2 linked regions of the Rattus norvegicus genome follow. The protein of the gene in region 1 purifies or fractionates together with the protein of each later gene. This does not show direct contact. Links are inferred from orthologs where the notes say so. Each region holds a gene or a part of one and is shown on either strand. Other genes may lie near its edges.

What was found.
Region 2: the proteins of Sod1 (region 1) and Prdx2 fractionate together in Homo sapiens (co-fractionation; 3 studies listed by BioGRID, with this or other methods). This does not show direct contact. The link is inferred for Rattus norvegicus from reciprocal best matches to the Homo sapiens genes SOD1 and PRDX2.

Annotation. Positions count from the first base shown.
Region 1 is NC_086029.1:42,945,688-42,948,916, reverse strand, and holds the end of Sod1 (superoxide dismutase [Cu-Zn]), read right to left. Parts: intron 2,542-3,229; coding exon 2,472-2,541; intron 1,784-2,471; coding exon 1,666-1,783; exon of another isoform or gene 1,664-1,665; intron 718-1,663; coding exon 610-717; 3' UTR 518-609; downstream 1-517. UniProt on the Homo sapiens protein: Destroys radicals which are normally produced within the cells and which are toxic to biological systems.
Region 2 is NC_086037.1:40,088,084-40,091,824, reverse strand, and holds the start of Prdx2 (peroxiredoxin-2), read left to right. Parts: upstream 1-842; 5' UTR 843-888; intron 889-1,275; exon of another isoform or gene 1,276-1,370; 5' UTR 1,371-1,372; coding exon 1,373-1,475; intron 1,476-1,566; coding exon 1,567-1,720; intron 1,721-2,577; coding exon 2,578-2,700; intron 2,701-2,844; coding exon 2,845-2,975; intron 2,976-3,741.

The sequences.
Region 1 (3,229 bases):
AGGTACTCTGAATCTTAAAGAGAGCTTTCAGTAATTTCTGATGATAACAAAGGGCAGAAAATTTTCTAAGATCAAATCCGGTTTGGGCTACCACACGTCATTTTGATGGTATCACATGAAACACTTTCAAAATTAAATACTATGAGAGCCTCATTGAGTCTGTTGTTGATGCTCAGTGTATAGAGCTTAGGTCTTTTTGGTATACATTAATAGGCTTGAAATAAGTCTCTATCTCTCGAGGCTCTAAATAAGTCTCAGTCTCTCTCACACACACACACACACACACACACACACACACACACACACACACACACACACACACACACAGACACACACAGAGAGAGAGAGAGGCTTGAATGAGAATTTCAGCTTAACACCAGTGAGGTCTGGCACAGAAACAACAGATTTTAGTTCAATGAGTTGTACACATTCAGGAAGTTCTACACATCCTCCAAACATCGTCAGTCACCTCTCACTGCAAGTCCTTAGAGCAAGTCAAAGGAGTCACACAGTTAACAACTGTTAAGATTACAGTTTAATGGTTTGGTTTTTTTCTACAGTTTAGCAGGACAGCAGATGAGTCTGAGACTCAGACCACATAGGGAATGTTTATTGGGCAATCCCAATCACACCACAAGCCAAGCGGCTTCCAGCATTTCCAGTCTTTGTACTTTCTTCATTTCCACCTTTGCCCAAGTCATCTTGTTTCTCGTGGACCTTTGAAAAGAATTAAGAACATTTAGGTTTCGGTGATCAAGTAATTAGCACTTCTTCCCAGCAATACTTCAAAGGACCATGTATATTAGAAAATGTTCAAATCTATTAGTAAATCAATAAGCTAATTTTTATGCTATCAGCTAAAAGCAGACTACTAAGTGTTTCCTTGCTCGTGGCTATTTCTAGATGAATACTAAGGACCCAAATAACTACCAGGCACATGCTGATCTTAGCCCTCACCCTCACCCCACTGTACAGTAGTCATTCTTACAAATTTCTCTATCAAAATCTCTTGGTGAGTGAACTATAGGCCTACACATAAGAGGCAATTCTAAATATCTTTACTTAGCAACAAGATTTTAAATTTTATTTTTAGAACATTTATGAATGATTGTTCTGCTTCACCAATAGGGCTGAAGAAAATTCTAAGGATAAAGGGTCAACTGAAAGGAAGTGCCTACTGAAAAGTTAGCTGCCCGAAGTGGGCAAGAGCTTTTACTACTTGGTGTTCTGCATGAACCAGATTCATCTCCCGAGGGTAACTTGGGAAGACGGCTCCCATATGGTAACCAAGCGATAACCTGCAGACTTGAATACTGACATCCATCGCAGATTTTAAGCTCAACGAAATGATTAACTGTAAGGGGGCAATCATGGCAAGAAAATCCAGCTGTTTTAAACTAAAGACTATTGTATCCTCAACTCAGATCCAGTCTGATCAAATGTAACCAGCTTTCTACCGCACTTCAGCAGAACAGCGTTCTTAACTGACCTAGGCAAATTAATTCTTTACTATTACATCCAATAAAATAATATTTTTTCCTATTCTGAACTCTTACCAATTTATGTGATCTTTTAGGAACTAGTTTAACCACCACCACGAAGTCATGGAAAGGTACATAACTATGTTAGAAGAAATCCTACATCTACTACTATATGGAAACTTACCACCATAGTACGGCCAATGATGGAATGCTCTCCTGAGAGTGAGATCACACGATCTTCAATGGACACATTGGCCACACCGTCCTTTCCAGCAGCCACATTGCCCAGGTCTCCAACATGCCTAACATTAAAACAGCACCAGGTGGATAAGCAATGATATCTATTTCACATCAATAGAGTTCAATAGCTAAATTCACATCGAAGTCAAATGCTATGAGTGGATTAAAGAGTGCACATACACTATCAAATATGATGGCTTTTCCAGACAAAGGTCTGGAAACACAAATTTCAAAACAGGTAGCCAGGATACCTTGACACATAGCTCTTCCAGTTTAAAGGAGAGAGCCACAGTCTAGGACTTTCGAAAAGGATGTCAGCTCCTGATTAGCAAAGGTTTGCTCCCAGGCCTCCATTCCAAAAGCAAGCTAGCCCCTCTTTAAATGTAGGACTTTCCTAAGGTTTCACATACAAACGGAATCTCAACTAGTTTTTATTATCTGCATTAGTATATTATACAATGATTTACTTTGCTAGTGACTGATAGTACTGTTATCCATGATATTTTCTGTATTGGTTCCTTTTGGCACTTGTATTAGTTCATCTTCAATAAATGCTACAAAACTAAATCACTTAAGAGTCCACATTTGTCAGCTCCTTCACCCAATATAAACTATTCCAGTACTTGGGGATGTGGGAGTTGGGTGAATGGAAACATACAAAAGAAAAGGCAGTGAGACCACTCAGTTCTGTCTTCAGGTGTTTTCCACAGACCCCTCTCCACCACCATGCATAGAGAGAATGCTGCTCACCTCTCTTCATCCGCTGGACCGCCATGTTTCTTAGAGTGAGGATTAAAATGAGGTCCTGCAGTGGTACAGCCTATTTACCAGAAACCAGCAGTCAGATTATGAAGTAAACCTCTGTATGCAATGACATCGGAATTCTTACAACTTCCAACACAGCAAACATGGAGCTGGTATGTGCTGGAGTGATACAAACAGGAAGCAGCACCCTGGTACAAATAGCTGGACTATATGGCCTTGCATTTTCAAGCTACCCGCTTTTTCACTAGACTGTCATGTTTGTTTGTTTTGAGATTTGAGACAGGGTCTCACTACCACAGCCCATGATATCTGCAGTTAATGACCCTCCTACCTTAGCCTTCCAAGTGCCAGGAGCATGGTAGTGTCACAGCATGTCTAGCTCTGGTTCCTTCCTCTACTGGAACAGAAGCGACCTTTAGTGGCACTTCTAAAGTTAAAGTCCCACATTTAAAGATCTTTGCTTTTAAGATCATGATAAAAACACTTATCTTTCAAGACCTTACACCACCAAACAGCTCAGCCATCTGGCTTTTACTTGGGGCAGACAGATTTTTAGATTATCCCCACGTGTCAAGGCTGCTGTGCTTCTCAACTCCAGGTGTAAACAGCATTAGAGGTGTACATGTGGGCTAAGGGACATCATTCACAAGGGACATCTCAACAGCAACAACAACTCAGGAAATAGGACTTACATAGTTTACAATTTCTACCCAGACCAAGAAATAGGTACAGGGCAGGATTCT
Region 2 (3,741 bases), on another chromosome or scaffold:
TCGAATTTCCGGCTATATTGGTTACTACCATCTCCACCGCACCTTCCCAAGTTGACTGGCAGGTTTCTGTCTCCGTCTCCACCCTTCTAGCACTCTGTTTATAAGGCAGGCTATCAGATGACCAAGGAAGCCCGCAGGGCAAGACGTTGAGAACAAAAGGTAGTGCGGTTGGAGCACGGCAGTAAATTTTCAGTAAAATGAAACGGAACGGAATAAAAAAAAAAAACAACTCACAGATGAGAAACCAACGCGCTCAGAGAAAAGTGCCCGGTCCTCTGGGACACAGCCTGTGCTGAGCTGAGCAGAGATTTGAAGTCAGCCACAGAGGGTCTGTTTGTAGGGCCCAGGCCAAGTGAGGCCTGGGGGGGGGGGTGTCGGGGGACACCTTCCCATATCGTCAATCCCGCCCACCTGCTAGTTTACCCTTTTGTCGCTGCAGCCTCAGTAGCTCCCAGGTGTCACCTTCACCCTGCTGCCCAAAGTACTGGTAGTCTGGGTTGATCTGAGTAGGGGACACCAGACCTAGAAACATTAGAGGGGTCAGCAATGGAGCCAGGTGGCTCCGGGCCATGCCCGGACTCCAACCGACTCCAGCGCGCCCCCGTGGCCAAGGCCCGCGCGGAACCCACAGCACAGACAATCCCGGCGTCCCTAAGGACACACCCCATCCAACCCTTGGGCAAGCTTGTGGACCGGGCCGCGTCTCCCCCTCTGCAGCCGCAATGGATGCGACCGCGGTACTGTCCCGCCCACCTCCCCGCGCCCTGCCTGCTGTGGTTTGGGCCACGCATAAAAGGCTCCCGGGCCTAGGGCTCTCTCGGTTCTGAGATCTCTTTCCTGTCTCTGCTCGTGTCTGGTCGTCCGCGTGTCCGGCTCTTGCCCACGCAGGTATGGAAACCTAGAGTGCACATGAATGGGAGGAGCCCCATTGGTGTGATGCTGGCCTCATCACCACCTCCATGATGGAGGTCTTTGTTTTCTATGCTGAATGGTGGCCGCTTTTGTCCTTGCGGGGGGGAAACCAAGGCCGGAGCCCTGGCTTGCAGGCTGGGTCATCGAGCTCACAGCCCTTCGCTCTTGGCTTAGCTATCCCATTCTGGAACTAAGGGCTCAGGTCCCCCTTTCCCCGCACTCGGTCTGACTCCATAATTCGGGTAGCAACCGTGACCCCATCACTCTTGCCCTGTTTAGGGGGGCGGGTATCCAGAGGCCTTGCTGTCCTTGTACTGGGAGGGTGAATATGAGTGCTGCTTCTCCCACCTCTCTTGGATTTAGTGTCTAGGCTTAGCACCAAAAGTGACCTTGGGAAGGCAAGACAAAGGGTCTTCTGAAGCACTAAAGACCAAGCTTGCATGGGTCTCTGATTTCAGTCATGGCCTCCGGCAACGCGCACATCGGAAAGCCTGCCCCTGACTTCACGGCCACCGCCGTGGTGGATGGTGCCTTTAAGGAAATCAAGCTTTCAGACTACAGAGGTGAAGCTGCTCGGAGGGGGAACGGGAGGGGACAGGGTCTACATTTGAAAGAAGCTAGCACTAACTTCTCTTCCGCTCTCCTCTTCCCTAGGGAAGTACGTGGTCCTCTTTTTCTATCCACTGGACTTCACTTTTGTTTGCCCCACGGAGATCATCGCTTTTAGCGACCACGCTGAGGACTTCCGAAAGCTAGGCTGCGAGGTGCTGGGAGTGTCTGTGGACTCTCAGTTCACCCACCTGGCCTGGTACGGGGCTCCGGGAGGAGGGCTGCAGGGGCCGCGAAGTAGGTGATGGGGTGGGAGGTGTGGAGAGGATGAAGGAAGGCCCAAACTCTAGGGACAGACTGTGTCTTCCCGTTCTTCATCTTATAAAGAATGGAAACAATGACACCCAAGCCCATACGATGATGACAGTAATTAGCATTTGGCACCTTATTGGAAGGTACCTGCAGACGCAGTCTCGGTTCTCTGGAGACAGGCTGCCTTGCTGTATTTCGCTATTCTCCATAGTGATCCGCTGTGCTCCATACCAGAGCGAGATGATGGTGGGAACAGTCTATGCGCATGCACGCGCGCGCCCCCCCAAACACACACACACACACACACACACACACACACACACTTTTTTTTTTTTTTTTTTTTTTTGGTTCTTTTTTTCGGAGCTGGGGACCGAACCCAGGGCCTTGCGCTTCCTAGGCAAGCGCTCTACCACTGAGCTAAATCCCACACACACACTTTTTAAAAGAACTAGGAATCAATTCCAGGGCTCACTCCTGCAAGGCAAGTGCCCTGTGCCCTGCCATTGAACTGACTAATAACTTTAATAACTTTAATATGGGTTCTCTACTGCAAGTTACTCAGGCCCACAGGCACAAGTGAAGCCATTTGAAGATGATGCTTTATCTGGGGCCATTCTCCCCCCAGCTACGCTGCCATCTCACAGGGTGGGGTGGGTGGAACAGCCCAGCCTTGCTTTAAGTCCTTTATCTCTTGTCTCCAGTCCTCCTACTCCAGCCCTTATCATTCTGGAGGCCATGAGAGAGAATTCTACAACTACTATACTCGGCATCCTAAGGTCCTAACTCTGTTTCTCTCACCCTCAGGATCAATACCCCACGGAAGGAGGGAGGCTTGGGCCCACTGAATATCCCTCTGCTTGCTGATGTGACTAAAAGCTTGTCCCAGAATTACGGCGTGTTGAAAAATGATGAGGGCATCGCTTACAGGTACAGCAGGGACACCCTGGCTCCAGGTGCCCGCAGCTCAAGGCTAAAGGAACCACTGTGTCTGGTGGGGTGTGGATGTTCCCTTCCCTGGCCCTGGCAGTAGGCCGTCTCCCAGCTCCTCACTGTGGACCCTCTTGTCTTTAGGGGCCTCTTTATCATCGATGCCAAGGGTGTCCTTCGCCAGATCACAGTCAACGACCTACCTGTGGGACGCTCTGTAGATGAGGCTCTCCGCCTCGTCCAGGCCTTTCAGTATACAGATGAGCATGGGGAAGGTGAGTGAACGTTCACAAATAGACAGAGACCGCCACTGCTCTCTGCCCGGCATCTTTGTGGGAGAGAGATTAAAGCCCCATCCCAGCGAGAGCTGAAGAGATAACCAGCAGGTAAAATCACTGGCTGCTCTTTCAGAGGACCAGGCTTGGGTTCTTAGCATCTCTGTGATGGCTCATAACATCCATAATTCTAGTCTTGGGGGGGGGGATCGGATGCTCCCCTCTGACCTCCTTCTGCACCAGGCATGCACATGGTACACAGGTAAACACGTAAACGGGATGGATGGGCTGGAGAGTTGAGTTGGCTCAGTGGTTAAGGGTACTTGCAGAAAAGCAGGTTCCAGTACCCACAGTGATGCTCACCAGCTCCTTGGGTACACAGACACATAAAATAAAAAAATAATAATAAAAGACAGGTTCTTAGGTCCTGATTGTAGAGGTGGTAGAATGGATAGGATATGGCATGGTGGCACACACCTTCAAAAACAAAACAAAACATACATACATACATACATAGAATGAATATATATATGCAAAACATATAACATTTAAAAATAACATGCCATATTCAAATTCAGTTCTTTGCCTGTAGGGAGTGTCTAGGATGGGGCAAGGATGCTAAGAGGGAAGATTTGGGAGCCTGGTAGATGACTGTAGAAGGTATTTGAACTAGGAATGCTAGGTTTGCCTGCCATCCCAACACTTGGAAGACCGAGGCAGGAGGAAGGCTGGGACAGGATTGAGGCTAGGCTAAGATATAGAATGA